5 separate regions of the Mus musculus genome follow, and regions 2, 3, 4 and 5 are each reported to be linked to region 1. The links are microRNA targets in miRTarBase. Many come from high-throughput screens and were not tested one by one. Region 1 holds a microRNA gene; each other region holds the end of a gene's coding sequence.

Evidence for each region. The annotated mature microRNA mmu-miR-1896 reads CUCUCUGAUGGUGGGUGAGGAG and lies in region 1 at 2,944-2,965, opposite strand. An mRNA with a match to its seed (bases 2 to 7 or 8) in the 3' UTR can be bound and repressed. Matches are read on the target gene's strand: a 7mer-m8 pairs with bases 2 to 8, a 7mer-A1 pairs with bases 2 to 7 and ends in A, and an 8mer does both.
Region 2: miRTarBase lists Gpi1 as a target of mmu-miR-1896. Seed matches in the 3' UTR shown: 7mer-A1 at 1,371-1,377.
Region 3: miRTarBase lists Timm17b as a target of mmu-miR-1896. Seed matches in the 3' UTR shown: 7mer-A1 at 1,663-1,669 and 8mer at 2,130-2,137.
Region 4: miRTarBase lists Abcd4 as a target of mmu-miR-1896. Seed matches in the 3' UTR shown: 7mer-A1 at 1,781-1,787.
Region 5: miRTarBase lists Ubxn2a as a target of mmu-miR-1896. Seed matches in the 3' UTR shown: 7mer-A1 at 2,377-2,383, 7mer-A1 at 2,719-2,725, 7mer-A1 at 3,176-3,182 and 7mer-A1 at 3,621-3,627.

What each region holds. Positions count from the first base shown.
Region 1 is chr13:21,441,897-21,448,173 of GRCm38, reverse strand. Mir1896 (microRNA 1896) reads right to left here and starts at 3,014; the gene lies at 2,934-3,014. It overlaps Zscan26 (zinc finger and SCAN domain containing 26), which reads left to right. Exons shown (of 6, transcript NM_001347491.1): 4 at 1-7; 5 at 280-388; 6 at 2,345-5,994. The coding sequence ends at 3,243. 4930470G03Rik (RIKEN cDNA 4930470G03 gene) reads right to left here. Exons shown (of 4, transcript NR_151504.1): 3 at 3,981-4,103; 4 at 1,344-3,252.
Region 2 is chr7:34,197,009-34,203,285 of GRCm38, reverse strand. Gpi1 (glucose-6-phosphate isomerase 1) reads left to right here. Exons shown (of 18, transcript NM_008155.4): 16 at 396-471; 17 at 583-649; 18 at 737-1,959. The coding sequence ends at 872. Among named protein-coding and RNA genes, the nearest start is that of Pdcd2l, 3.5 kb to the right of the region's middle.
Region 3 is chrX:7,905,489-7,911,765 of GRCm38, forward strand. It overlaps Timm17b (translocase of inner mitochondrial membrane 17b), which reads left to right. Exons shown (of 6, transcript NM_011591.5): 4 at 583-711; 5 at 793-903; 6 at 1,000-2,164. The coding sequence ends at 1,088. Among named protein-coding and RNA genes, the nearest start is that of Timm17b, 9.3 kb to the left of the region's middle.
Region 4 is chr12:84,598,190-84,604,466 of GRCm38, reverse strand. Abcd4 (ATP-binding cassette, sub-family D (ALD), member 4) reads left to right here. Exons shown (of 19, transcript NM_008992.2): 16 at 82-134; 17 at 442-518; 18 at 1,058-1,173; 19 at 1,308-1,936. The coding sequence ends at 1,376. Among named protein-coding and RNA genes, the nearest start is that of Abcd4, 16 kb to the left of the region's middle.
Region 5 is chr12:4,875,813-4,882,089 of GRCm38, reverse strand. It overlaps Ubxn2a (UBX domain protein 2A), which reads left to right. Exons shown (of 7, transcript NM_145441.4): 7 at 1,319-5,276. The coding sequence ends at 1,508. Among named protein-coding and RNA genes, the nearest start is that of Mfsd2b, 4.6 kb to the right of the region's middle.

The DNA of each region.
Region 1 (6,277 bases):
GCAGAAGGTAAGGGGTGCAGGTGCCCATTTGCAGGAAAGTAAGAAGTGAGCCCCCAGGTCACATAGGCGGACATGAGCACAGCAGCGGGCGGGGCACTGCTCACTGCTGGTCAGTGTGGGCCTCGCCTCACCCTTGCCATCCCCGGTGAGGCTGAAGTGTAAGGAGGCTCTCCGTTCTGCCTCTTCTTAGCCTCTTGAAAGGTTTCTTTGTTCTCTTTTCTGACATTGAAGTGGTTTTTTTTGTAAACCGGTTTCCTAATTATCTGTACTTATCTCTAGGACTCAGCCCAAAGAAGCAGACCAACGGTGCTGGTTGGCGAGCCAGCCCCTCGCAGGGAAGCACGGGAGCAGCCTGGGTGTGCGCTTCCTCAGAAGCCTGAGGAGAGAGGTAAGAACCAAATGGCATCTTTTTGCATTTGAATTATGGTAGGCCATGCAGTGCCTCTGCCTTGGCACTCGGCATTTTGGTATTTGTTTTTATTAGGCCTGTTGTGGCTTAATTTGTATACATAATCTAAACTGTAGCCTCTCTAGTCAGTGCAGGTTTTTGTTTTGTTGTTGTTGTTGTTTTGTTTGTTTTTGTATATACAATAAACTTAGTAACACAGTCAAGATTTAAAAGATCTACAACTCCAAACAATTTGAATGAACAACACACCAAGAAGTGGAGCTGAGCCTACCTGTTGCTCTTCCCTGAGGCAAAAAAGTCTCAGACAGAGTTTCCTTATTCCCTTTCCTAGCTCCTTCAAATCACTGTGAATGGCAGTGCTGAGGGTGGGGTGTTAATCAGTTTCTTTGGCTCTGCTTTGTTACTGTTCTATTTCTTACTTTTAGTCTCAGTCTCTCTCTCTCTCTCTCTCTCTCTCTCTCTCTCTCTCTCCCCTCCCTCCCCTCCCCACCCCCTTCTTTTTTTTTTTTTTTTTTTTTTTTTGACACAGGGTCTTCCTGTGCAGCTCTGATTGATCTCAACTACAACTATGTAGATCAGCTGGCCTTGAACTCTCTAATGTCTTTGATGCTTTCACTAAGTTATGTTGTAGTCTTCTCTGTCACTTAAATACGAATGTATAGATGTCTCTCCTTGCTTAGATCCCTTAGTGAACTGGGAAATGCTATTCTGTTTTTTCACATGAAGTACTGTGGCCACATTGGGAAGAGGAACCGAGAGATAGAGCTTTCGCTCTCCTCAGGCAATAGCGAATTGTGCTGCGCCTCCCACTCACCCGCACTCTGTTGGCCTGTTTGTTTCCATTTCCCCTTCCTGTTTCTCTCTTCTGGCTCCCTCCTGCCTCATTCATTCTATCCCCTGCTCCAGGCTCCCCATTCACTCACTGTCTGGGTCAGTGTCCTCGCCTGCTCGCTCACGGGAAGTTAGCTTCCAGTTTCTGGCTTCTTTCTCTCTTTCCATAGTTAAAGAGCCAAGTTTTGTTTTGTGCCCTGAATCTGCTATAGATCCCCTCTGAGGGGAACAAATCATATTTCAACATGATGTTTTTGTGAATGCATTATTCTCAAGGTCTTATGCTCCCGGTACTGTTGATTTATTGTTAAGAACGTAAACACTTTTTCCAAGATTACATACTACTCAGTGATAAAATTGGCACCATGTCAACTCATCTTCATTTGTCAAAGTACCTTCCCTGCTTAACTTGATGGTCCTCGGGTGACCTGATTTATGGTGCTTTTTTGTTTCCCAGGTGACAAATCATGATCAAGAATATGCAGTCATGCTTAGTAGCTTCTGTGTGTGTAACATATGTCACATAATAAAATATAGAACATTTAAAATAAATCACCTCCCACCACAACCCCTGCCCTTCCCCAAAGCCAATCTGGTTAACACTTTCCCAGATGTCAGGCTGGACGTGGTGGTGCTGTAACTGTGGGACCTGAGAGGAGAGGATTAGGTTAGGCCATGTTATTCTGCATAGTGAAAACTTACCTCAAAAAAAACAAACAAAACCACAGTTTCTTGTAAATCACTCTTTATATATATATAAAATAATCATGAGCAAAATTTTGTTGTTGTTTTTTTACTTTGTGAGGATTGAAGCGATCTCATCTCTTAAGAAAACTTTTACAGAGGATCTGGTTTCAGTTCCTGTCAACTACATTGCAGCTCACAACATTCTGTAACTCCAGTTTCCGGGAACTGGACAGCCTCTTACGGTTTCCTTGGCACTGCATGCATGTTGTGTACATGCATACATGCAAATAAAACACACATAACATGTTTTTACATTTATACACATGGCTTTATTTAAGTATTTCCTGCTATTTGCAGATTCCTTTCCCTGAACACCAAAAATAAAATAATTAGTGATATATATATTTACTATTTCAGGTAAAGAGACAAGGAGTGAGAATGGGAATCTCATTGCAGGGACAGACTCTTGTGGAAGAATGGAATCATCTTGTACCATGACTGAACCCATTGAGGCCCAGTGTGAGGACCTGAGCTTGAAAAAGAATCCAGCCATGCCCAAGGAAAAAACTAACAGCCAATGCTTGGAAACTAAGGAGAGACTTGTTCAGAACTCAGGCCTGATTGAACATGACAGGGCACATACAGGAGAAATGTCCTGGGAATCTGTAGGATCTCAGAGTTCTGTTGCTGCTGACCATCAGGAAATCTCTAAAGACAAAGGTCATCCCTGCCAAGAGTGTGGGAAAGTCTTTCAGAGAAGTTCACACCTCATCAGACATCAGAAAATCCATCTTGGGGAGAAGCCTTACCAGTGCAAAGAGTGTGGAAAAGTCTTTAGCCAGAATGCAGGTCTTTTGGAGCATCTCAGGATCCATACTGGAGAAAAACCCTATCTGTGTATCCATTGTGGAAAGAACTTCAGGCGAAGCTCTCATCTTAATCGACACCAAAAAATTCACAGTCAGGATGAGCCCCGAGAATGCAAGGAGTGTGGGAAAACCTTTAGTCGGGCCCTCCTCCTCACCCACCATCAGAGAGTCCATGGTCGTTCCAAAAGACATCACTGTAATGAGTGTGGGAAAGCCTTCAGCTTGACCTCCGACCTTATTCGACATCATAGGATTCACACTGGAGAAAAACCTTTCAAATGTAATGTGTGTCAGAAAGCTTTCCGCCTAAATTCACACTTAGATCAGCATGTTAGAATCCACAATGAAGAAAAACCCTACAAGTGCAGTGAATGCAATGAAGCCTTCAGGCAGAAGTCTGGTCTCTTTCAGCATCAGAGACATCACCATAAAAGCAAACTGGCTTGATGAGGTTCTCTGTTTGAAACATGGAAATGTTACATTGATAAGCAAACAGCGCCTTTTGAAAGAACTCACGACGGCTTCAGGATTCTTGGAAGCCATTTGCCTCCGTTGTGTCCCTCTCTTGGCTTTACTTAAAGTCATAATTAGACTATAATAATTTACCAGAATAGCAGAATCAGAGTTAAACAAATATTCACTACAGAGCTTCTCAGAGCTTTCAGTGTGATAAGTACTTGATTATGTATCTCTTAAGTATTAGCTTTATGTGTGAATGAAGTGTTTGAAATCAGTAAGTCAAGTGCCTATAGATTTATACAGGACAAGATCAAGCTGATATTTTTGTAAGTACTGTAGCAACAGGCTCCTAAAACATAAAATTAATGAGGGTTGGGGATATGCTCAGTGGTTTAACCAAGTTGCTATGCAAGTGGAAGGACTGTTTTGGATCCCCAGCACCCATGTAAAGTCAAATGAGTATGTGGCCAGCCTGTGGCCTGTGGTCCCACCCCTCAGGTGGCAAAAATGGGATCTTTCTAGCAAGCTGGCTAGCCAGACTAGCTGTATCAGCAAACTTTGGACTCAGGGGAGGGAGTTTGGAGAGCAGTCGGTGGAGTTCTTGAGGAAGACTCCTGATGATAATCTAAGTGCACATGTGTCCATACGTATGTAGAGCCATACCTGCAAACATCATACATGTGAAAAGACAAATCCTAAGGAGCTAGAGTTAGCAGTTAACATACCTGCTCTTGCAGAGGACCCATCCATTTTCAGTTCCTAGCACCTCCATAGCACAGCGTCTCACAGTTCCAGTTCTGGGGATCTGCTAGCCTTCTCAGGCTTCTGTACACAGTGGTCCACAGAAACTGGTGGACACACACACACAACTGGTAAAATATTTTTAAGCCCAAAATAAATCTAATAATGCTTAGAAATACACATCCTCAAGGGTCTAACGTAGGTTAACTGAACATTTTCCCTGTTAGGTTCACACAAACACTGGCTTCATATCCACTTTACCTTTGTACCATCAATGAATGCATTTCTGAAAGCTTTTGCTGTTTAACTATAGAACCTACCCTTAGGATTAGCTCATGTCATTTTACATTTCCTGCCCATTTTAACCACAGTATCACAGTGTTTCAAATTATAAATCAAAGTTTTACCTAAACTATGCAAGAGACTTTGAGTCATTTGAGTGAACTGTGTTGAAGTATTCTAAGCAGCGACCTCCTTACTGGGCAGCAACAGTGCCAGTACAGTGACTGCTTGAAGGACACCTTTTTTCATGAATGTCCCATGGGGGGAAATGGGGTTTTCCCCCTTTGATACCAATGATGCAAATTTAAATGCTACTTGTTTTGATATTATTTTGACCATGCAAATCAAATCAGCTCGGAGAGATCATGGCCATCAGGTCATATTGACTGTCTTGCTAGTGATGAAAAGTAATAAGCTTGGAGTCTTCCCAAGCCCAGCACCCGACTGCTAAACATGGCTTATGGTTGGTAATTGCACAGGGTGTACTTCTCAGGGAAAGGGCTTCTTAAGTTATGCCGCTTTGGGAAGAGAAGGGGACCCTTGTACTGACTACAACTTGGTTTCACTACACTTGACTTACAAATAAGCCAAGAACTTAGCAACATAGAAATGCTTATTTTTCTTGTCCGATAGAAAAGGATAGTCAGTCCAAAACAGATCCATGGTAAACCTAGTCAGCTTGCTGCCAGTCATGTCTAAGGAGGGGACAGGCCAAGGACTGCTAGGCACCTAGGTGCAATTCTGACATTAATCTTCTGTTTCATGCCCTTTTTTTTTTTTTTTTTTTTTTTTTTTTTGGTTTTTCGAGACAAGATTTCTCTGTGTAGTCCTGGCTGTCCTGGAACTCACTTTGTAGACCAGGCTGGCCTCGAACTCAGAAATCCGCCTGCCTCTGCCTCCCGAGTGCTGGGATTACAGGCGTGTGCCACCACTCCTGGCTCGTTTCATCCCCTTTTAACCAAACTTTGCTCTGCACAAAATAAGGCCCTCTTCCTTTGTTAAGATTTGACCTAAGATACACTCTAAGCAAAATTGGGGAGAGCTGCACAAAGGGACTGGCTGAACTGAGAAGAACCTCTCTTGGACCTTTTGCCCACACTTTGCATGTGATAGTTGCAACTTCAGCAGTCATATGGCCTTAAAAACTGATGGCATGGACCAAGGTTAGGTCCTCAACACCACCCAAAATAACAGTGTTAGCGTGTGATCAGTCTCCTTCATGTTTAACTCCGATCCACACCAAACGTGCATGTAACAGGCATTGTAACCCTTGTAATTCCTAAGCCTCAGAAGAAACACAGTCTTAGAACATGCTTTACATCTCTACTGTGGAACATCCTTTTATGCATCACTGTTTGTGTGAAAGTGATGTTCCTTTTCTGGCCTTTCTCTTAGCTTCTCCTTTTACTTCCAAACAGCATGGCCCTTAAAAATTAGAGAACTATCAAAATTTTAAATGCACATTATTCTTCGTCAGTTTGTGTGTGTAATATTTACTCAACAAATATATTTAAAGCAACATAAAAACATAATTATTGATAGTGTAAAGAGAATACTTTTCTATGGAAATAATGATATTGACAGTATTGTAAACAGTCTGTAAAGTGTTAATAAAGTTTCAAAGTAATTTTTGAATAAAATTAAAGCTATAAAAAGAAAGTAAAGATTTTTAAATGGTGTTTCCTACAGCATTACTTAATAAAGAATATAACTAAACCTGCATTATTGAGGATAGTTAAGTAAATTATTGTACCCTATACAACGGAATATTGTTGGGATGTTTATGCTTATGGGTCTGGGAGAGGCTCGGTTGGTAAAATGCCTATGACAGTGGTAGGGATGGTAGTATAGAGCTATAATCCCCCTGGGGGTGGGGGATCCCCAGAGCTTGCTGGCAGCCAATGTAGCTGCATCAGTGAGCCCCAAGATTCAGTAAGAGACCTTGTCTAAAAAATAAAGTTGAAGAGTTATAGAGAAAAGCCTCAGGAATCGACCTCTG
Region 2 (6,277 bases), not on the chromosome of region 1:
GAATAACAGCAACATCATAAAAACATGGAGTCTGTTTTCTGTTGATCTGCTCTTCCTTGGTGTGACTCTGGTCCTGGAATATGGTTCATAGACCTAGTGTCATTGTTTCCCGGCAGCTATTATTTGCAGCTAGCTTAGAGGTGGGACTTCGTATCTGCTTTTCCTCCTCTGTGGTGGGATTTGGGCTGTGAGGGTCTAAGTGCATTGGCCCTGTTGGGTCCTCAAGACAATGTCTCCTTGGAGTCATCCACCACTTTTGCCCTTAGAATCTTTCCAGCTCCTCTTCTGCAGAGACCCCAGAGCCTTGAGGGGAGGGATGTATATAGACACCCCATTTAGGGCTAAGTGCTCCGGAGCCTCTGCCCGTCGCTGAGGACAGTTCTTGTTTCCCGCAGGTCTTTGAAGGAAACCGCCCGACCAACTCTATTGTGTTTACCAAGCTGACACCCTTCATTCTGGGGGCCTTGATTGGTGAGTGAGGAGAAGAAGGATGAGCTGGCTGGCTTGGGGTCACTTGGATGGGGAAGGGAAGGAAGGAAGGAGAGAGACCCTAACGGGCACCGTCTGTTGTTTCCTCTGCAGCCATGTATGAGCACAAGATCTTTGTTCAGGGCATCATGTGGGACATCAACAGCTTCGACCAGTGGGGGTGAGTTGCCGAGGAATCTCTGTTGTGCTTTTGGGTTGTCTCTGGAATGTGGCTGGCTCATCCTCCTCTTCCACCCTCCCCCGACAGAGTGGAGCTGGGGAAGCAGCTGGCCAAGAAAATTGAGCCGGAGCTGGAGGGCAGCTCTGCTGTGACCTCCCATGATTCCTCCACTAACGGACTGATCAGCTTCATCAAGCAACAGCGGGACACCAAACTAGAATAACTCCAGCCGCGGCCCTACTGACTGGTCCTCCGTGTCCCTTCTCACCATATGCACTGCATGGTCCTGCCCCTCCCTGCCCAGAGCGCACCACCGGTAGTTGGCCTGGACTACAAGGCTGTTGGGAGAAGCTGGTCTGGAACTGCCATCCACCCACTACGCACCCTCCCTGTTGAAGCTGATGGAAGGGCTTTGACGTGTCATGTTGTTCTGACCTGTATTTCACACCCCAGCTAGAATAAAGACACCTAGAGGAGGCATGGGGGCTCAGCCTCTTCAGTTTACTGAGTCAGTACTTTTATCTGTTACTTGTGGGTGACCCTGCTTATGCCTTGTTTGGTTGGCTCTTTACTTGGTGGTGGGCTGGTCCACAGTCTCGGAGGATTGATCGTTATGAGGGGACAGCTGGGTGATAGGGGCACTTGGGAGGCACAGGCAGGTCTATCTGAATTCAAGGCCAGCCTGGTCCACAAAATGAGTTCCCGGATAGCCAGGGCTACACAGAGAAACCCTGTCTACAAAAAAGGGGTTGGGTAGGGTGGGGTCAGGGATCTGCAGTTAGGTGGGCAACTTGCTCTCCAGTCACGTGTTCACCTCCTTCCCCTCCTCACCTTGGTGACGTGGAAAAAGTAATTCTGCTTCACTAGGTAGGTTTTTGCTTGCTTGTTTGTTTGTTTACCTTCGCTTTATTTTTGGTATCAAAACCTAGGAATGGGGCTGGAGAGATGGCTCAACAGTTAAGAGTACTGACTGCTCTTCCAGAGGTCCTGAGTTCAATTCCCAGCAACCACATGGTGGCTCACAACCACCTGTAATGAGATCCGATGCCCTCTTCTGGTGTGTCTGAGGACAGCTACAATGTACTCACATACATAAAATAAATAAGTCTTAAAAACAAACAAAAGAACCCAGGGATGAACTCGATTATACCCTTCAAAAGACAGTTTTAGCAGGGTGTCATTACTGTCACATTCATATCCTGGCTATCAGTGAGTCCTTGTGAGACTGAGTGACAGCCCTGTCATTCTACTTTCCACCATGTTAATTAGGCCCATTTGATGGCCAGTCAATAAAAAGACTTGGTACATGTCTTAGGGTTTTATTGCTGTGAAGAGACACCATGACCATAGCAGCTCTTGTAAAAGACAACATTTCATTGGGGCTGGCTTACAGTCCAGAGGTTTAGTCTATTATTGTCATGGCAGACCATGGTGGCACATGTGGGTAGACCTGGTGCTTGAAAAGAAGCCAAGAGTTCAACATCTTGATTCGAAGGCTGCGGAAGGTAGGCCTAGCTTGAGCAAGTTAGACCTCAAAGCTTGCCCCCACAGTGGCACACCCTTCAGCATAGCTTCACTTCCTAGTAATGCCACTCCCTTTGGGCCAAACACTCAAACAGGAGTCTACCCTGTAGACTGTACACAAACTTGGTCACTGAAGTGGGTGGTTCTGATGCTAAAGTCCTGTTCCCCAATTGGTTCTTGATTTGTCAGTAAAGAAAGCTAGAGGCCAATTGCTGGACAGAAGGTATAGGTGGACTTCCCAGGTCCCAGGAGGAAAAAAAGGCAGATAGATGCAGGGAAGGAGAAAGTGTCTTTCTGCTGTGTTTTAGAGGAAGAAGGACACAACAACCATGTGAGCTCTCAGGGGAGCCGCCAAGGATGTTTAATAGGGGCTCGGTGGGACTAGTTACTAAATTTAGGGCAGGTGGAGAGATGGTGATAATTGGTTAAGTGGATGCTTTTCCAGGCAGGAGATATCTGTGCCCAGCAATTGTGCCCAGAAGGTAAGTTGTAAAGTAACAAGCTGTGTGTCTTTATCTGAAGATTCAAGGGAAGCTCAGGGGAGGACATGTCCTGGAGCTAAAGGGGGTTAAAGCAAAAGGGAAGCAATAGTGTGTGTGTGTGTGGGGGGGGGTGTTTGGTAGCCCTTCTGGGTCCCCGGATTAAAAGGCACTTAAAACTACACTCAAACACTGAAACTTATAGAGGAGAAAGTGGGGAAAAGCCTTGAAGATATGGGCACAGGGGAAAAATTCCTGAACAGAACAGCAATGGCTTGTGCTGTAAGATCGAGAATTGACAAATGGGACCTAATGAAACTCCAAAGTTTCTGCAAGGCAAAAGACACTGTCTATAAGACAAAAAGACCACCAACAGACTGGGAAAGGATCTTTACCTATCCTAAATCAGATAGGGGACTAATATCCAACATATATAAAGAACTCAAGAAGGTGGACCTCAGAAAATCAAATAACCCCCTTAAAAAATGGGGCTCAGAACTGAACAAAGAATTCTCACCTGAGGAATACCGAATGGCAGAGAAGCACCTGAAAAAATGTTCAACATCCTTAATCATCAGGGAAATGCAAATCAAAACAACCCTGAGATTCCACCTCACACCAGTGAGAATGGCTAAGATCAAAAATTCAGGTGACAGCAGATGCTGGCGAGGATGTGGAGAAAGAGGAACACTCCTCCATTGTTGGTGGGATTGCAGGCTTGTACAACCACTCTGGAAATCAGTCTGGCGGTTCCTCAGAAAATTGGACATAGTACTACCGGAGGATCCAGCAATACCTCTCCTGGGCATATATCCAGAAGAAGCCCCAACTGGTAAGAAGGACACATGCTCCACTATGTTCATAGCAGCCTTATTTATAATAGCCAGAAACTGGAAAGAACCCAGATGCCCCTCAACAGAGGAATGGATACAGAAAATGTGGTACATCTACACAATGGAGTACTACTCAGCTATTAAAAAGAATGAATTTATGAAATTCCTAGCCAAATGGATGGACCTGGAGAGCATCATCCTGAGTGAGGTAACACAATCACAAAGGAACTCACACAATATGTACTCACTGATAAGTGGATACTAGCCCAAAACCTAGGATACCCACGATATAAGATACAATTTCCTAAACACATGAAACTCAAGAAAAATGAAGACTGAAGTGTGGACACTATGCCCCTCCTTAGAAGTGGGAACAAAACACCCATGGAAGGAGTTACAGAAACAAAGTATGGAGCTGAGATGAAAGGATGGACCATGTAGAGACTGCCATATCCAGGGATCCACCCCATAATCAGCTTCCAAATGCTGACACCATTGCATACACTAGCAAGATTTTACTGAAAGGACCCAGATGTAGCTGTCTCTTGTGAGACTATGCCGGGGCCTAGCAAACACAGAAGTGGATGCTCACAGTCAGCTAATGGATGGATCACAGGGCTCCCAATGGAGGAGCTAGAGAAAGTACCCAAGGAGCTAAAGGGATCTTCAACCCTATAGGTGGAACAACATTATGAACTAACCAGTACCCCTGAGCTCTTGACTCTAGCTGCATATGTATCAAAAGATGGCCTAGTCGGCCATCACTGGAAAGAGAGACCCATTGGACACGCAGACTTTGTGTGCCCCGGTACAGGGGAACGCCAGGGCCAAAGGGGGGGAGTGGGTGGGTAGGGGAGTGGGGGTGGGTGGGTAAGGGGGACTTTTGGTATAGCATTGGAAATGTAAATGAGCTAAATACCTAATAAAAAATTGAAAAAAAAAAAAAAAAAAAACTACACTCAAGTCACCTGAGTTTCATCTATGAAACCTATATAAAGGTGGATGGGGTGAGCTGATGTCACATGTATTGTGGCAGGCACATACTCAGTAATGGGATGTATATGGTACTTACTTGAGATTAGCCTGGGCTGAGTGAGCAAGTTCCAGACTTGTCTAGCTATACAGTGGAAACGTGTCTCAAGAAAAGGGTGGTAGGTCACAGTAGGGTCTCAGATATAGGTCAGTGGTAGCGCATGCTCAAAGATTGGGTTCAATCTATCATGTGGACACACTTGTGGGGTAAAGTTTCTCCAAGTTTCAAGTGCTTGACTTGTGTCCAGCAGGTGGCACTATTGGTAAGTGGTGGAAAGTAGGTGGGGCTCAGTTGGAGAAAAATGTCTCCCTTGAGAGGGAAAGACATGACTTTGAGAGATTTGCTGCAGACTCTTCTTTCCCTGTATCCTGGCTGCTACCTTTGTGGAAATGACACAAACTAGAAGAGTGCACCGGATTCCATTACAGATGGTTGTAAGCCACCATGTGGTTGCTGGGATTTGAACTCGGGACCTTTGGCAGAGCAGTCAGTGCTTTTAACCACTGAGCCATCTTTCTAGCCCATTTCTAAAATTCTCACACTGCTATGGTTTCTCAAAGTAGTCAAACTCACATGTGCTTTCTGTTTCTGGGATTAAACACTTGTGGAGGAAAGGGTTACTTTGGCTTATAATTTCCGGTCATGATCTATTATTGAGGGAAGTCCTAGAAAGAGCCAATGAGCAACTGCTTGCTGGATTGCTCCCTGGCTCTGTGTGTGTGTGTGTGTGTGTGTGTGTGTGTGTGTGTGTGTGTGTGTGTGTGTTTAGGACACAGGATAACCTCACATGTGATTCCTCTGGTCCAGTCAGTCCTTTTTTTTTAATTTATTTTTTTATAAAGACAGTGTCTCAGTAGCCTGAAAGTTACTGATCAGGTTGGTTGATCCAGTCCCAATTTCAGGGTTTATTTGCTTTTGAGATACTCTCAAGCCAGAGCTGGGTTGAGTTTCACTATTTAGTCCAAACTATAACCAGAGTTCACCCTTACCTGGCAATACATGCTTTTCAAATGTGCTTATTTTTTTTATTTTAGTAAAACTCATCACTAAAATTTTTCTTATTTTGGTTTTTTGAGACAGGGTTTCTCTGTGCAGTCCTGGCTGTCCTGAAACTCACTCTGTAGACCAGGCTGGCCTTGGACTCAGAAATCCACCTGCCTCTGCCTCCCAAGTGCTGGGATTAAAGGCATGAGCCACCACTGCCCGGCTAAACTTTTTATTATTTACTTTAATGTGCACCATGTGTATTCCTGCTGTCCACAGACTCCAGAAAAAAGAATTGGCATTGGTTCCCCTCCTGCCTACCCTCTGCAAACTGGAGTTGTAAGCAGTTGAGTAACCTATGTACATGCTCAACATTTTTATTTTGTTTTGTTTTTCCATACAGGGTTTCTCTGTGTAACAGTCCTGGTTGTCCTGGACTTGTTTTGTAGACTGCTGGCCTCGAACACATAGAGGTTACACAACCCCGCTGTGGCATATGCTCAAATCTTCAGTCTTCATATGTATTTTAAATGTATCTGTCAAAATTAAGGACTTTGGGGGGCTGGAATGATGGCTCAGGAATTAAGAGCTCTTTCAGAGGACCCAGGTTCAATCCCACCACTCACAGGACAGTTCATAATTAACTGAAACTCCAAGAACTGACACCCTCACACAGACCTACATGCAGGCAAAACACCAATGCACATAAAATAAAAAAATAAATGATTATTTTTTAAAATGTAAGGACTTTTTGTTTGTTTTTTTCGAACAGGGT
Region 3 (6,277 bases), not on the chromosome of region 1:
GTGGCGGATGCCTTTAATCCCAGCACTCAGGAAGCAGAGGCAGGCGGATTTCTGAGTTCGAGGCCAGCCTGGTCTACAGAGTGAGTTCCAGGACAGCCAGGGCTATACAGAGAAACCCTGTCTCAAAAAACCAAAAAAAAAAAAAAAAAAAGAGAGAGAGAGAAAAAAAAAAGTGAAAGGATTTTGATGATAATAACTACAGCCCCAATCAGATGTGGAACCTTTCACAGTGAGAAAGATGGACTATACCTAGTTCTATAGCTGGACTTTCTTCCTTCTTGTATTTGGTGCTAAGGTTGTGCCCCATGGCCTCCTGTTTTTGAGACAGCCTCCACTGTATAGGTGTCTAAGCCTTTGCGGTCCTCCTACCTGAGCTTCCCAGGTGCTGGCATCATACTATATCCTGGTCATATTTATTTGTTTAGTGGGGGGAGGGGATCACCCTATGCAAGCATCTACCACAGAGCCACATCTCCGGTCCCAGCACTCTTTCTTGGCCAGTCTTCAGGCCTTGGAAGTTTCCAGATGTTGAGCTACGTGGAGTCTCAGATTGTGTGATTCAGACTCTTATTTCCCCTACAGGAAGCTTTGCAGTGTGGGGAGGTCTGTTCTCCACCATCGACTGTGGCCTGGTCCGGCTACGGGGCAAAGAAGACCCCTGGAATTCCATCAGCAGTGGAGCGTTGACTGGAGCTGTGCTGGCTGCGCGCAGTGAGTGCCGCCAGCCTCTCACCCCAGTCCTTGCCCTGTCCTGCCTGCCCTTCCTCAGCTGTGTGTCTTTCCGCCTCCCAGGTGGTCCGCTGGCCATGGTGGGCTCTGCGATGATGGGAGGCATCCTGTTGGCCCTCATTGAGGGTGTTGGCATCCTTCTCACCCGCTATACTGCCCAGCAGTTCCGAAATGGTGAGAACTTGGTGGGCGGTGGGCAGGGAGAGTCAGGAAGCACTGTCAACCCTCTCCATGCTTCCTCGCCTCATTACCTCATTCTCCCTTCTCCAGCACCCCCATTCTTGGAGGACCCCAGCCAGCTAACCCCGAAAGAGGGATCTCCGGCCCCAGGTTATCCCAACTACCAGCAGTACCACTGAGGAAGCCGCTGCCTGACCCCCGCCACCGTGGGAGCCACTCCTCAGTTCCCTCCCGGATGATCTACCTCCAAGGGAGGACTGGCTCCTACATAGCCCTGAGAGGCCTTCACAGAGGGCCTCAATTCTACTCTCTGGTTTTGTGGTAGGGGTGGGGACACCCCAGCAGCCTTGTCATATGGGTTCCCTTTTTGTGTCTTAGGGCATCCCAGCTTCATACGTGTAACAATTCTCTCACCCCCAGAGCCCTCGTGTGGCACCCTGATGAATGTTTAAAGCCAGTTTTGAAATGTCTGTGTATGTCTGCCTTCAGTCACCCAGATGGCCCTCTCTCTCCTCAGAAGGGGCTTGGAAAGTCTAGGGCTTGAGATTTCATGGTGAATGGGTTTGAAGGGTTTTGATGGTTTTTGTTTTGTTTTGTTTTTTGTATTGGGAAGTGGGAGAAAGAAGCAGGGTCTCAGCTGGGCATGGTGGCACACACCTGTAATCCCAGCACTTGGGAGGCAGAGACAGGCAGATTTCTGAGTTCAAGGCCAGCCTGGTCTACAGAGTGAGCTCCAGGACAGCCAGGGCTACACAGAGAAACCCTGTCTCAAAAACAAAAAACAAAAAAAAAGAAGAAGCAGGGTGTCACTGTGTTGTCTAAACTGAACTTGAACTTGTATGATACTACCACACCCAACCTCTAGTAAAGGTTTACAAAATGAATGAGCAAGGGAGGGAATAGTCAAAAAGATGAATTAGACACATGCATAAACGTGGTTAGGTGCCTAGACATGCTTCGTGCACGCAGGAAAGAAGGACAAGGATTGCTGGGAGCATGTGTATGCTGTGCAAACATACTGCAGACCCTCCTGGTACAGGCTCCCCGTGGAGAGCATGGGAAACCAGGCGCGTGAGAAAAGCCTTTGCCCTGGGCGTGGTAGTGCACACTTTAATCCAGCCCAGAGCAGCACAGAGGCCGAAGCGGAGACACACAGATCTCTGTGAGCTGAAGGACAGCCTAGTCTACAGAGCTTATCCCAGGACAGCCACGGCTGTTACTCAGAGAACCCTGTCTTGAAAAACAAAAGCAAACCAAAAAGAAAAAAAAAAAGAAGAAAGAGCAAAAGCTGGGCAGTGCTGGTGCACGCCTTTAATCCCAGCACTTGGGAGGCAGAGGCAGGCAGATTTCTGAGTTCGAGGCCAGCCTGGTCTACAAAGTGAGTTCCAGGACAGCCAGGGCTACACAGAGAAACCCTGTCTCGAAAACAAAAGTCCATGTGGCCGTATTACAGCTCTGGGGTGGAGGCCCAGGCGTCAAAAGAAGACTCCGTCCCTGTCACTTTCTCCTTTGCTGATGTCTAGATCTTTTTACATTTGCTGTTTTTTGTTACTGTCACTAATTACATTTTAAATTATTTTTATTTCATATTTTCATATATATTTTGATAGTATCTTTCCCTTCTCTACCTCCACTCAGATCTTCTCTTCATCCCTATCCACTTCATTTTATCTTCTGCTGTTTCTTTCTTGAGACAGGCTCTCACTTTTTAGCCCTGCCTGTCCTGGAATTCACTCTGTAGGCCAGGGTGGCCTCGAACTCAGAGGTCTGCCTGCCTTCTCTGTTATCCAGATGGACTGCTCCCAGGTTCTGACATGTGTAAACCCTTAAGTGGATGGGATAACTCTTGTCTCTTGGGGTCCAGTTGCATATAGAGGCATAGAAATTTCCACTGTGACTGTTGCGGTGCGAATGGGCTGTGGATAAGTGCTGGGATTAAAGGGGTATGCTTCCACACCTTGCTTGCTGTTTGTCTTTCAAGACAGGGTCTCACTTGTATCAAGTAGCCCAGGCTGGCCTCCAACTTGCTATATAACAGTGGCTTGTCCTGTGAACTGATCTTCCTGCCTTAGATTCCTAACTGCTATGGGGAACCAGTGGTTTTCTTTTTATTTGTTTGTTTGTTTTTAAAAATAAGGTCTCGGGCTGGAGAGATGGCTCAGCGGGTAAGAACACTGACTGCTCTTCCAAAGGTCCTGAGTTCAAATCCCAGCGACCACATGGTGGCTCACAACCACCCATAATGAGATCTGACGCACTCCTCTGGTGTGTCTAAAGACAGCTACAGTGTACTTACATATAATAATAAATCTTTAAAACAAAAAAAAAAAAACAAAAACAAAATAAAAATAAGGTCTCAGTATTATTGTCTAGACTGACTTCAAAATCCTCATCCTTTTGTCTCCCAAGTGCCAGAATTGAAGATTTGTTTTGTTTTTGGAGACTTGGTTTCTCTGTGTAGCTCTGACCATCCTGGAACTTGCTCTATTGCCTGAGCTTGAACTCAAGAGATCCACTTGGCCACCTCTCTCAGCCTCCGGAGTGCCATGCATCACCACTGCCCCGCCCAGACCTTTTTTTCTTTTTTTTTTTTTTCTTTTTTTTTTTTAAAAAGGACTTATCTATCTTTATTTTATGGGCACTTGTGTTTTCCCTGCATTCATCTATGGAACAGCAGTTACAGACAGTTGTGAGCCACCATGTGGATGCTGGGAATTGAACCCAGGTCCTCTGGAAGAGCAGCAAGGGCTCTTAACCACTGAGCCATCTCTCCAGCCCTTTTTTGGTTTTTCAAGACAGGGTTTCTCTGTATAGCCCTGGCTGTCCTAGAACTCACTTTGTAGACCAGGCTGGCCTCGAACTCAGAGATCCACCTGCCTCTGCCTCCCAAGTGCTGGGATTAAAGGCATGTGCCACCATGCCCGGCTCCACCCAGACTTTTTAAATAGACTCATTTATTGGGAGTGCGGGTAGACATGTCACAATGAACATGTGCAGGGTTAGCCCTCCTCCTGCTCTGTTGGTTTCCAGGATCAGATTCAGGTAGTAAGGTTCAATGGCAAGTGCCCTTACCAACCGAGCCACTGGCAACCCAGTTGTTTTGGAGAGGGTTTGGTTTGGTTTGGTTTGGTTGTTTGTTTTTGAGACAGGGTTTCTCTGTGTAGTCCTGGCTGTCCTGGAACTCACTCTGTAGACCAGGCTGGCCTAGAACTCAGAAATCCTCCTGCCTCTGCCTTCCAAGTGCTGGGATTAAAGGCGTGAGCCACCACCGCCTGGCTCCAATTTGTTTTTTAAGGGTGACCACAGTATGTTCAGAAATGAGTTTTCATTTGAGGAGAGGGAAAGTATGGGAAAGATCCCAGGTTCTGACATTCTGTGTAAACCCTTCCATGGATGGGATAAGCATTGTCTCTACCGGGGGTCATATGCCATATAGAGGCACAAAAATTTCCAGAGACTGGATTGGTTTTGTCACTGTGACTGCTGCACTACCAGTGAGCTCATGGATAATATATACATTTTGCAAGGCCTACATAATGAGATCCTGTCTGAAGAAAACAAAATGCGGGGCAAAGTTGAATATCTTCCACTCTCAGGGAAAAGCAAATCAAAATTACAGCAGGATTCCGTCTTTCTGAAGTGTAAATTGCTGTCATCAAATGATGAGGGACTCCTACAGTACTGGTGAGAATGTATCAGTAGAAAGGTTACTCAAAACAAATCTACCATATGACCCAGCTCTACTACTGGGCATACACCTAAAGGAGCCAACATACCACAGAGAGAGCTCACACATCCATAGTTATTGCACCGTCATTCACAGCTTTGGTGATCTTCCTAGGTGGCCATGAGCTGAAGAGAAGATAAAATATACACGCACACACACATGAATACGACTAGAATTATAGTCATCTGTAAAGGAAATTACTTTGTAGGAAATTTGATGGAACTGAAATATTGTTATGCAAAACAAGCCAGGACAGGTATTTAATCGTTTTTCTCTTGTGTAGACTGCAGAACAGAAAGACAACATATAATTAGGGGACAGACTGGTAGGGAAGAAGATAAGGATGAGGAAGAGGAGAGACGGGTTAGCCGGGGACGTTTGCAAAGTCCACAGTAATTCCTATGAGGTTTTCTTTTGTACACTTAATATCCGCTGGGGGGAAAGGCCATGTGACAAGCAGGATGGAAGATGCAGGGAGGCAGCTGTGTGGAACTCCATTAGATGTACACAACTGAAGGGAAGGAGCAAGTTGAGAGGAGTGAACAGCAGGTGGCATGGAAGCGCTTGCTTGCCCTTTGTGTTCAGAGACTGGACTCAGTGCCTCTGGCCTCCTCGAGCTGCAGCTGCCTAGTTATTTTGCAGCAGACATGACTCACCTGCATCTTTCTGGTTCCTTCAAATTTTCTTTTAGTTTTAAGAGGTCCCTAACCCAGGCTGGCCTCAAGCTGCCTTCTCAAGTCTACATGTGTGTTGTGTATGCAGAAACACACACCCACATAGACACAAATAGCAGACAATGACCTTGAACTTTCAGGCCTGTCCTCTGCTTCCTGAATGCTGGAATTAACAAGGTTTGTATGATCAGGCTCTGCTTATTTACATGGTGCAAAAATCAAACCCAGGTCCTCCTGTGTGTTAGGTAAGCATTCTCCCAATTGAGCTATGTCCCCAGCTCTCAGATCAGCTGCACAGATTTCTCCTGTGAAATGCTGGTGACAGCTGTGGAAAAATACCAGTATATGTATACAACTAAAGGGAAACAGCAAATAGTGGAGGGGTCACAGGTAGTGACATAGAGGCACTTGCTTGCCCTTTGGGTTCAGGGGCTGGACTCACAGGGCATCAGGCCTCTATCACGTGCTGGCCAGAAATGGTGGCACACACCTTTTATTCCAGCATGTACTAGGTAGAGGTAGACAGATCTCTGAGGCCAGTGATCTCCATAGCCAGTTTCAGAGCAGTCAGAGCTATAGACTCTCCAGAGTTAAGTAAACCTAGACCCTTACACCAGACAAGTACTTCCCCACCGAGCTATGCCCTAGCCCCTCACCTCTAATTCCTCCAGCTCCTTTATGCCATCTCTTCTGTCTAGGATTTCTGAGGCGTTCTTTCAGTTTACTCCTTCCGGAAGCTTCCATGGCTTTCCTTCCTTAACCTCTGGTCTCGGTTCCGTCCCTCGCGTCCCATTTGTTCTCCCTGGCTCTCTGCGTGGCCTAGATCTGCTATCTTACAAGAAGGCCTGTAAAGGGGCTGGCCAGATGGAGCAGCAAGTAATGGGACTTGCTACCAAGTCTGAAGACTTAAGTTCAAGGCCTCAGAACCCATGTAGTGAAAAACAGAACCAGCTCCCACAAGCTGTCT
Region 4 (6,277 bases), not on the chromosome of region 1:
CAGAAATGTTTGAGGTGGGGAGGTAGGATTGCAGAAAACACTGGACACTTGTGTGGACTCTGTGACCCCTGTCTGTTACAGTCCAGCTTGGTGGCAAGGACTGGAGGTCTGGACCAGCAGGTGGATTGGAACTGGTAAGGATGAGCGATTCCAGGCAGCGCCCCCCCCCCCCCCCCCGCCCCCATGGGTCCATTACAGAGTCCAGCAGCCCTGTAAAAGGACGCAATGGCTCCTGACCCCAGCTTCCTGGTGTTGGGCTGCCCCACCAGTTCAGGATCCGTATCTTGGGTAGAGTTGGGCCTCACCCGTCATGTGACTAAGAGGGAGGGCCTCTATCCTGGGGCCAATCTCTATAGCGAACTTGCTTCTTTCAAGATATATTCTTGGCAAAAGTCAAGCTGTCACCTCCTTTCAGGGCTCAATCATTATTGCTTTTTCTAGGTATGATGTCCTGTCCCCAGGGGAGATGCAAAGACTCTCCTTCGCCCGTCTCTTCTACCTGCAGCCCAAGTATGCAGGTGAGGTGCACACCATGGGCGCACATGCCAGGCGCTGTGTGTACTCATGAGTACTTGTAGCATGTGTTCACAGCCTGGACACATATGTGCACTTATACATGACTGGGTATCCCTCCCTGTGTCCTCTACCCGTGATGAGCAGAGCTTGGCCCCTTGGCATAGTCCTGAGAGTGTAAATGCACTTGTTAGGCAGCCTCAGTTAGAGGGCTTGTGATCGTAGCTCCCTGGGTTCTGCCACAGATGAGCGGGCATCCCCGAGCTGTGCCTGGCAGGAATATGTACATGCATATTGTAGCAGGTATGGACACTTCTGAGCACAGAGCCTCGGATGAATTGAGAGTCCTGGGTTGTACAGTCTTGGGGCACAGTGTTATTTGTCTGCAGGCAGCTGTGAGATCTGAGCCAGGCTCACAGGTGTGATCTCTATCTTGGCGTGACTCTCCTGTCAGTCCACCACATCCCAGGGTGAATGGGTTGGAGGAGTGACAGAGAGGGCAAGGGCAGTCTGTGATCTCTCGCCACCACATGCTGCTCGTCAGTGCTCGATGAAGCCACCAGTGCCCTGACAGAGGAAGCAGAGAGTGAGCTCTACCGAATTGGTCAGCAACTGGGGATGACATTTATCAGCGTGGGACATCGTCCCAGCCTTGAGAAGGTACCCAGGCCACAGGGGTGGCCTGCTGAGGAGAAAGAACCCAAAGGCTGGGCCTGGGGGTGTCAGGTAGCAGAGGGATTGGGGTGACTGCTCTGGCAGCTGTCTGACCTCAGTGGGGTCCTGGGCTCTTGCAGTTTCACTCCTGGGTTCTGAGACTCCACGGAGGAGGAAGCTGGGAGCTGACTAGAATCAAACTGGAATGAAGGCAAGCATGCAGGTTCATCTGAGCAGCGGAGCTCCGGGGCCTGCGGTGCCCACAGACAAGGAAGCCCGATGAGCCGGGAAGGAGCCACAGATTCACCTGAGGTCCTACACAGGAGCCCTAGCAGCCTCTAGCCCTGCCCACGGGTGGCGCTACAGGGAACACTGAGTCTCCCCAGCGCTGCTCCCATGACTTCTTACTTCAGATGACGTTTGCTGCTGAAAAACGGAATGAACTGTAAGACGTGAAGGGCCAGGGTGAGAAAACTATCGGACTCAAGAACTGGTGATGCCGGGCGGCGGCGCACGCCTTTAATCCCAGCACTTGGGAGGCAGAGGCAGGCGGATTTCTGAGTTCGAAGCCAGCCTGGTCTACAGAGTGAGTTCCAGGACAGCCAGGGCTATACAGAGAAACCCTGTCTCGAAAAAAAAAAAAAAAAGAAAGAAAAAGAAAACTGGTGACATTTCACAATGATAGCCTTTTAAAAAAAACTTTAATAACCATTTAAAATTTATAACTTTTTAAAAAAGAATAAATATTAAAAATATGGTTTTTCTTCTACAATAGACTGATTTTTTTATTTAAAGATTTTTATTTATTTATTATATGTAAGTACACTGTAGCTGTCTTCAGAAACTTTTTTTTTTCTTTTCTCTCTGGTCCTGCTTGCTCTGGCCCAAAGATTTATTTATTTATTATATTACACTGTACACTGTAGCTGTCTTCAGACACACCAGAAGAGGGCATCAGATCCCAGGACAGATGGTTGTGAGCCATCATGCGGGTGCTGGGAATTGAACTCAGGAGCAGGGACTGCTCTCTCTCCAGCCCCTAGAGTGATCTTTTTTATAGCATCTCTACACTTGTCCTCTAGGGTTTGAGGCACACTCGTGCCCTATACCTGCTGTGCTTTTCCACTCAATCTGTGTCCCTCCTGTCCACCCAATGGCCTGGAGACAGCGGGTGTGGCCAGTGCCAAGACCACCGTCTCTTGGGATCCTCTGTCTTTATCTTTTGTTCGTCTGTTTCATTACTGCGGATTGAACCTAGGGCCTTATGAACCCTACGCGGCTGTGATACCACTGATACACATCTTTATTATCTAATTCAAGAAAATTATCCCTTCCCCCCTTACTAGCTAAAATAAGGTTGGTAGATGTCTTCTTTTGTTTTCCCCACCCCCACCCCAAAATCTGTATTAGGAACAAGAAAAAAAAAAAAAACTAAGCCAAGTACATACCTGTTGCCCCAAAGGAATGGTGGCAAAGACAGATGAATCATGAGTGTGACACTCTTCTGGGTTGCATGGTAAGACCCCTATAAATTAAGTAGCAGATTCCCAAAAGCATAAGATAAAGTTACTAATGCCAAAGATGTTTTCTTTTGTGATATTTCTATAGTGTGTGTGTTGTCACACTGCTGCGGGGTGGGACGTTTTTGTTTTTATTTATTTATCTTATTTTTATTTTTTTGTTTTGTTTTTCAAGACAGGGTTTTTCTGTTTAGCCCTGGTTATCCTGGAACTTGATCTGTAGACCTGGCTAGCCCTGAACTCAGAGATCTGCCTGCCTCTGTCTCCCAAGCTGAAATTAAAGGCGTGTGCCACCACCACCACCACCTAGCCACTTTAAAAAAAAAAAAAAAGAAGACAGTCTCACTGTATACCCTTGGCTAGTCTGGAATTCACTATTTAGACTAGGTTTAGACTTGAACTTAGAGATCTGCCTGCCTCTCCCCTGAGTGCAGGTATTAAAGGCTTGTGCCACCATGCCCAACCTAGATGGGACCTTTAAAAAAGAAGAGAAAAGAAAAGAAAAGAAAAGAAAAGAAAAGAAAAGAAAAGAAAAGAAAAAGATGTGTGTGTGTGTGTACACGTACAGGCACTAGTGCACTCATGTAGTTGACTGACAACTTTCAGGAGTCCATTCTCTCCTTTCCCAACCGAGTCCCTAGGATTGAACTTAGATGGTCAGGCTTGGACAGCAGGCATCTTTACCCATTGATCCATCTCCCTGACCCAGAGGTGGGCAGACTCTTAGGGGTGATTAGGTCCAGAGTGCTCTGCCCTCATGAATAGGCTGAGCCAGTCCCAGCGTGGAGGAGCTAACTGTAAAGGTGGATGGTTCCATTCTCCCTCCCTTCCCCGCCCCCCTCTCCCTCCCTCCCTCCTTCTATCTCCTGGATTCCTACCTGGTCACTTGTTGCCTTCTGCACCATGACCCATCGAGGAGCCTCTCGACAGATACAGCATTTTAATCTTAGCGTGCCCAGTTTGCCAGTCCTGGGACAAAAAGCAATCTGGGCGTGGTGGCCTGTGCCAGATCTCTGAGTTCAGGGCTAGCCAGGTCTACAGGAGACTGGGGCTGACCCATCAGGAGTCTCACATACTTAACTAATTTGGAGCCAGCGTGGGTTATATGAGATCTGGTCTCCTGAACACAAAACTAAAATTATAACTAGAGAAATCAGCAGGGCTGGAGAGATAGCTCAGTAGTTAAGAGCACTGACTGCTCTTCCAGAGGTCCTGAGTTTAATTGCCAGCAACCACATGGTGGCTCACAACCATCTGTAATGGGATCCAATGTACTCTTCTAGTGTGTGTCTGAAGACAGCTACAGTGTACTCACATAAAATAAATAAATAAATCTTTAAAAAAAAAATCAGCAAAACTGAGAACATATTCTAGGGGAAGGAACTTGGTGTGTGTCGTCTCCCAGGGTCTTCTTGGACCTTTGCCGGGCCTGCGAGGTGGTGTCATGGGTGATGAGTCCACCACACTTGGGGAAGTTGAAGGTAAGAGTCTACATGTATTAAACCCACGTTTGGGTCCACTCTGACTTTCTTCCCGTCTTCAGGAAATACTGTTTTCATGGAAGACTGTTACCCCCCTGAGTGTAGGCATAGGAATCCCCAGATGAGGTAGGACTCTGGCCTGGCTCAGAAGTCTGTTCCCTGCCTTGTCTGTCTGTCTGTCTTTCTTTTTTTTTTTTTTTTTTTTTTTTGGTTTTTTGAGACAGGGTTTCTCTGTGTAGCCCTGGCTGTCCTAGAACTCACTCTGTAGACCAGGCTGGCCTCAAACTCAGAAATCTGCCTGCCTCTGCCTCCCAAGTGCTGGGATTAAAGGTGTGTGCCACCATGCCCGGCCCTTTCTTTCTTTTAAAGATTTACTTGTTTATTTTATGTATGCAAGTACAGTGATTCTCTCAGACACACCAGAAGGGAGCATCAGATCCCATTACAGATGGTTGTGAGCCACCATGTGGTTTCAGGGAATTGAACTCAGGACCTTTGGAAGAGCAGTCAGTGCTCTTACCCGCTGAGCCATCTCTCTAGCCCATGCCTTGTCTTTCTTGATACCCTGCACCCTACCTACCCCTTCCCAGAGTCTTTCTCCTTTGACACACATGGAAATCATGGGCAGACTTTTCGCTGAACCGGAGCAATTTATGGGAAGACATGGGATATAGGTAAAAGAGACCCTTGAAGAAGAATGTGGACCTTTGAACATACTCTGTCTGTTCAGCTCAGTACCTGTCTTAATGATCTAACTCCTATGTCAGAGGCCAGAAGAGGACATCAGGTCCCCTGGAGCTGGAGTTACAGGCAATTACGAACCGCCTGATATGTGCTAGGAACTGAACTAGGTCCTCTGGAAAAACAGCAAGCACTCTTGACGGCTGAGCCTTCCCTCCAGGCCACTAAGCTGATTCTCATGAACCACTTCTGCTTCTGAGCAGGTTCCAGCCCTGAATCTGAGCCCCAGCACAACACACAAACCTGCTGTGCTTCACCCCTAGGTTTGAGAATAAGCTTCCCGTTGCCTGAGTCCGCCACGGTCACTGTGCTCAAGCACCCCTTCCCAGGCTTCTAGAGGCACCAAACAAGAGTAGGAGGATGCTGCACCGTGGTGGCGCACACCTTTAATTCTAGCATGAGGGAGGCAGAGGCAGGTGGATCTCTGAGTTCAGGGCTCACAGAGAAACCCTGTCTCAAAGTACCAGAGAGAGAGAGAGAGAGAGAGAGAGGGAGAGGAGAGAGATTTATCTTTCTATTGCTGTGAAGAGACACCATAACCAAAGCAACTTATAAAAGAAAGCATTAATTGGAGGCTTGCTTACAGTTCCAGAAGGCAAGCTTCATGGCAAGAAGCATGGTAGTAGGCGGGCATGGAGCTGGGGCAATAGTGGAGAGTTTACATCTGATCCACAAGCAGGAGGCAGACAGACTGAGCCAGGCAGATAGACTGGGCCTGGCATGGGCTTTTGAAACCTTATTGCACACGTCCTAATCCAATATAGTTCAATCAGATAAGAGACCAAGCATCCAAATATATGAGCCTATGGGAGGGGGGCATTCTCATTCATGATACGACAGAAGGAAATGTCTACCTGATTGTACAATAGGACAGCCTGTATCCTTTGCAGCTGAACACAAGGCCACCTACCTGTCAATCCTGACTCTCTTCCTGCGGCAGAGACTCCCTGAGGTCTATGCACAGCCTAGCTCAGCCCACACTGGGAGCAGAGCAGTGAAGACTAATGGGAGGGATCCCAGGCACAGCGGAGAGGAGTACGGACGGGTGGGAGGGAGGCTGCCAACCAATGGGAACCGTTAGTGTCGGGAGGGACTGAGGAGTAGTGGGACTAATACAGTGAGCATCTTTGGTTCTGCTCAGCTGTGACCAGCGGATGCACTGCCACCCTGGATGAGGAACAGTATGAGGAGGGTCAGGGTAGTGAAGAGGACATCAGGGGGACCTACACACAAAAGAGGCCACTGGCTTTAGACCAGAGAATGCCAGGTGACTAACTTGGTAATCAGAGACTTAGAGGTTGGTTGGAGTCAGGGTAAGGGACAGGTCTGACACTTGCTCTAACCCAAAGATGTCACCTGCTGAGCACT
Region 5 (6,277 bases), not on the chromosome of region 1:
ACTCCGTTTCAATAAACACAAAGCAGAAATTCCAAATGTTAAGAAAATATTCTTGATGGCTTGGGGTGTAGCTTGGTGGTAGAATTTACCTAACATGCACAAGGCCCTGGGGGTGTAGCTCAGTGGTAGAACACTTAACCTAACTTGCACAAGGTCCTGGGTTTGATCCTCATCGCTGCAAAAGGAAAGGAAAGGGGGAAAGAAGAAGAAAGGAAAATACTGTGGCATCATTTTATTTTAGAATATTTGTAGGGCCAGCAAGATGGCAGCACAGAGGTAAAAAGCACCTGCGGCACAAGCCTGGACGACTGAGCTGGATTCCTCAGTAAAGGTGGATGGAGAGGGCCACCCATCCACACACAGGCAGAATAATAGACTAGCAAGTATTTTAGCTAGTAATAAAATACTGATGTTCTATAAAATGGTATCTTAGTTTTGATCGATGGTATGTGCAATCTCCTTAAACATAAAAAGATGAACACATAATTTTGAACATTCAGACTTTTTTTTATAATGTTTTAAGTGCCCTGTGTGTGGACTTTTTTAAAAAAAAGATTTATTTATTTATTTTGTGCATATAAGTATACGTGGCTTATATATTATACTTGTATAGATGGCTGTGAGCCACTGTGTGGTTGCTGGGATTTGAACTCAAAACTCGGAAGAGCAAGCAGCGCTTTTAGTCGCTGAGCCATCTCTCTAGCCCCCACACTCAGTATTGCAGTGATTATGGGCTAAGTTGGTAGAGTGCACACATACACGTGCATCAAATTTAAAACCTAGAACTTGGACTCTGAGTAGTAGGAGTTCCTGGCCAGCATACATGATCCTCTGGGTTCCTTCACAAAGGATAGTGAACTTGGGATGCAGCTGTGGAGCACAGATGTTAAGTACCTGCCCTTCTCAGTGTGTGAAGCCCTGGGTTTGATCCCCAGCACCACATAAACTGGGTATGGTGTCACCTAGCTGTAAACTCAGCACTGGCCTGTAATGCCAGCACTCCTTCTAAAACAACAACAACAACAAATAACTATTTGTATCATAAAAACAACTTTCTCTAGTCTCTATTTTTTTTCTTTTTTCTTTTGGTTTTTCAAGACAGGGTTTCTCTGTGTAGCCCTGGCTGTCCTGGAACTCACTTTGTAGACCAGGCTGGCCTTGAACTCAGAAATCTGCCTGCCTCTGCCTCCTGAGTGCTGGGATTAAAGGTATGTGCCACTCTAGTCTCTATTTTAACAAATCAAAATAACTATTCAAGTTGATGCCACCTTAAATTAGTTTGGATTTTTATAAATTAATAGTTTGTGCTATTTTGCAGGGTGAGCCACATCAAAGACTTCATTGAAAAATACCAAGGATCTCAGAGAAGCCCTCCCTTTGCCCTGGCAACAGCTCTTCCTTTCCTCAGGTTTCTGGATGAAACGCTCACATTGGAAGAAGCAGATTTGAAGAATGCTGTAATCATTCAGAGACTCCAAAAAACTGCCGAGCCTTTTAGAAAACTTTGATAGTTTTTATTTTTGAGAGACTGAGAAAAATGATGGTTGCAAGTAGACATGCAGAGTGGGAGACAGAAGTCAATGTGACTAAACTTGCGGTTTGAGGGCTTCTCAATCCCTTATGAGGGGGTTCAGTCGTCACAAGCTAGGAGAGTGACATGGCTCTAAGCCAGGGTCAGTGCATTTTTCTCAACAGGCTATTCAGAAAAAAATACCTATTTTTCAAATATTAGTTAGCCAATATGACATTAAATAGCTGTGTCATTAATCTTAATGTGGTCTAAATTAGCAGAGTATTCAATTAGCTAAATCAGCATCAGCATTCAAATATTATCTCCAAACAGCAGATATTTATATAAATGTTAGCTATCTCAGTTTTTAAATAGCAATACATCAAAATATTATCCATGCCATATTAAAAGCATCAATGTAGTTATTGCCCGTGCTTCATCCTCGGAGCTTTTCAGTTTCTACTTGTGATGGCAAAAGATACTCAAATACTCATTTGGCAACAGTATCCAAGATGTAGACTCTTCTCGGAATAAAATTGTGTAGCTTAGTATAATATCAATACTAATCTATATACACAGTTTTCTATACCTTCTACATGTAATTTTATGGACTGGGAATGTAGTTCAGTGGTAGGGATTATTTGCCATACATACATGAGACTAGTTTAAATCCATCCCAGCACTACAAAAAAATCCTTTCAATTTGTAATGTAAAAGCACACACAAAAAAAATTCTTCAAAGCTGGGTGGTGGTAGTGGCAAAGCAGGCCTTTAGTTTAATCCTAGCACTTTGGAGGCAGAGGCAGGAGGATCTCTGAGTTCAAGGACAGCCTGTCCTACAGAGCTAACTAACTTCCAGGGTTACACAGAGAAACCCTGTCTAGAAAAAACTATAGAAAAGTTTTCAAATCTTTACTCATTTAAAAGGAACTTTGAAACTGCCCACAGGTGTATGCCCTAGCTCTAGCTCACACCAAGCTGAGAGGAGAGGAGCCCAGGAGTTTGGTCAGCATAAGAGACATAGCAAAACCCTGTCTCTTGATAGTAACAACCTTCCCACCCGGAGACATAGATGGCTCAGCTGTTAAGAACACTGGCTGCGCCAGGCGGTGGTGGCGCACGCCTTTAATCCCAGCACTCGGGAGGCAGAGGCAGGTGGATTTGTGAGGCCAGTCTACAAAGTGAGTTCCAGGACAGCCAGGGCTACACAGAGAAACCCTCTCTCGAAAAACAAACAAAAAGCAAAACAAACAAACAAACAAACAAAAAAACACTGGCTGCCCTGGCTGTAGATCCAGGTTCAATTTCCAGCATACACATGGCAGTGCACAGCCATATGAAACTTCTGCTACAAGATATCCAACTCCCTCTTCTGGCCTCTGTGGTCACTGCACTCAAGTTATACGTAGACATACACGCAGACAAAATATCATGCATATTAAACTAATAATTTTCAACGAGTGGAAAGATTTATAGAGAAAGGTGGTGTTGTATTTCCTTTTCTCCAAAAATGTAATGTCTAACAATGAAGATAAAGATTCTCACCTGGCTGGGTGTGGTTGTACATGCCTTTAATCCCAGCGCTCTGGAGGCAGAGGCAGGCGGATTTCTGAGTTCAAGGACAGCCTGGTCTACAGAGTGAGTTCCAGGACAGCCAGGGCTATACAGAGAAACCCTGTCTCGAAAAAAAAAAACAAAACAAAAAACCCACAAAAGATTCTTACCTGTTTCACATTCACTGTGATGCAGTGTCACCTAGCTTATAGTCTCTAGAAGACAACACTCCATTTGTGGGAATGAAAAAGAAACATTTAACTATATGATTAGAAAAGACAGTTTGACAAGGGGTCATTTGGGAGTCCTGGCCAAACATGGGAATTCACACTGATCACAAGCCCTTGAGAGGCTGAGGCAGGAGGATTACTGTGAAGTCAGGGCCAGCTTGGGCTACAGAATGAGAGTCTGTTTCCTGCCCCTGTCACAAGCATTGTGCGTCACTGTCTGAGATGGGTGACAGCTGCACTTGGAACCTTGAGTGACTCGTAGGTATTTGGTGTAAATGCAGGAATTCTACCCTCGCCCGAGTCGGCCCCATATGCTTCACCAAGGACAGAGAATGGCTCCACCCAAGTGGTTTCCGCGGTTGAGCTTTATCCCCTTGCCCAGTTTCCTCAGGCTCTGCCTTGCCTCCCATCCGCCCAGGAGGATGGAAAGTGTGAATGAGGCTTTAAGGAAGACTCAGGAAGAACAAGAGGGAGCCTGTGTGCGTGTATAACTAGATGTCCTTTCTTTCAGCCCTTCCTTGTGCAATCCTGTTTTAAAGATGCTTTCTTCCCAGGCTTCCATGCCAGACTTCTGTATTTTGGGTGGGCTTTGTGTAATAGAGAATGAAAGAGAGCATTTTATTTTGCCCTTTACCTATGAAATCAGCATGTATATAATAGAAAAATTAAATATTTGTCAATAACATTTACACAACACTATCAGAGTCCCTTTTAGCAATATAAACAATTCATTAACAAGAAAGGGGATAGTAAAATCAATGGTTTTATTTTTCAGATATAGGCAAAAACTTTTGATTGTTAATATGTTCAGGAATCTCTATGGAAATGTTTCATATAGGCCTATCCTGAAACCTTTCTATTTACATAGTTATAATTGACAAATGGTTCTCCATATTTTTATGAGGAACCTCTCACAAGAATGTTTCTTGTGTATCTACAAATAAGGCCTCCAGTCTCTAACCAGAAGGTAAAGTGGGGGTTCTTGTGTGTCCATGTAGAGTACTTGCCAGGGAAATGTTCCACTAGGAAGGTAAAGTGGGGGTTCTTGTGTGTCCGTGTAGAGTACTTGCCAGGGAAATGTTCCACTAGGAAGGTAAAGTGGGGGTTCTTGTGTGTCCGTGTAGAGTACTTGCCAGGGAAATGTTCCACTAGGAAGAACAATCATCAGCAATAAGTTGCATTTTTTAAAACTGTGAAAATGTTAATGTAAATAATGTTTGCAAAGATTTCCTTAAAGATAATCACCTGATAAATCTTTTTACTTGAAAATTCAAAAGTTATAAAGTTGCTAGCATATAGACTCCTTATTACAGGTTGATTTTGAAAGGATAAATTGCCAAGGGAAGCAAAATTTAAAGTAAGTGAACATCTCAGGAGTAGAATACAGGTTGACCCAAGTCATTGCTCCAGAATTGTCATAGTCCGTTGTCTTGTTTTGCAGATGAGATAGACATTGAAATACATATCTGATTGCACACATCATAATTTACGAGTTAGATTACTATCACTATCACAGCTAAAATAGCCGTACTTCATCACGACTCATTCAGCAAACCTCATGATGTTTCCATTCATTGACAATGTAGTAGTATGTATTTATTTTAGTGCCTTAATATATTTTTGATGTATTTGGCTAATGGTAAAATGAACTGTCTCTTGAAGATAAAATGCTGCTCACTGAAAGGATCTGTTTAGTGATTCACACTTGTTATACGATGGCTACTGGGAATGCTTTCGTCGTGTTTTATTTGGCCGAGTCCTACAGTTTGAGAATCAGTGATTGTCTGGTCTAGTGATTATTAGATGTCTTTTCATTAGCCAATGTTGTTTTCATTTCATACTCAGAAATGTGAAGAAGTGATACTTTAGTGGCTGTCCAATGGTTGTTATTTATTCTTTGCCCTAGCATGGAGGCTTGTTTACAGTGTTCACTCCCTTGTACATTTCTGCCACTTCAGTAAAAAGATGCTCATCACACTGGATCCTCAGTAAGACGTGGCTTACTTAGTTTTAAATTGTTTTGGCACAGACAATCCATACTCATTATAGAAAATTATATCATACAGATATCCTAAAGATAACCTCAGTATGAATTGACTTGGGATCTAGATAGCTCTACTGCCAGGCACCAAAAAAAAAAAAAAAAAAGTAGAATCAGTGTTTTTTTTTAATGTACTCAGCTATATTATCCCACCATGATAGAGTTTGAAAATTTGCATCTCCTTGAAAAGAAACTCCATCTGGCTGGGCAGTAGCAGTGTATGTATGCCTTTAATCCCGGAGCTTGGAGGTAATGGTTCTCTGTAGTTGAAGGGCAGCCTGGTCTACAGACGGAGCTCCAGGACAGCCAGGGCTACGCTGAGAAGCCCTGCCTCTAAGAAAGGCAGCACTGCTACACCCAATACGATCGATCATGTCCTTATTATGTGCTTATGGTTCATCTATATGTCTTTAAAATGAGATTTTTTTTTGGTTATTTGTATATCCCAATACAAGTGCTTTATAATTTGTTCTACACTTGGGAGGACATGTTTACCTTATATACATATGTTGTAATTATTTGCAGCACAGAGTTTTTCATTTCACTGCAGTGCAGTTGTGCTGTGTCCTAAGGAACAGTTGTCTAACTAATATGTGCATTAACCTCTTGTTGCCAGACTTATGGTCACAGCCTGTTTCCCAGCAAACCGGGTTTGAGTCATCCACCCTCCACGCACCAATTCAAAGAGTCAAATGAATAGTGAAAGGCAAGAAGGGAGATGTATTCAGTGTGGGCACTGTTGGGGTTCAGGAATCTCCACGTACACCATACAAAGTGATCTCAGTTAAGCAAGATTAGTTTACTGAACGCACACCTTAATGCTGGACGTCCAGGACCGCCGACAGGACTGCGGGAGCCTAATTGCGGTACTAATCTCTCAGAGTAGACTTTTTACAGGAAAAACCAGGTTCAAAGGTTTAAAGAGCAGGGAGGGGAGCAGTT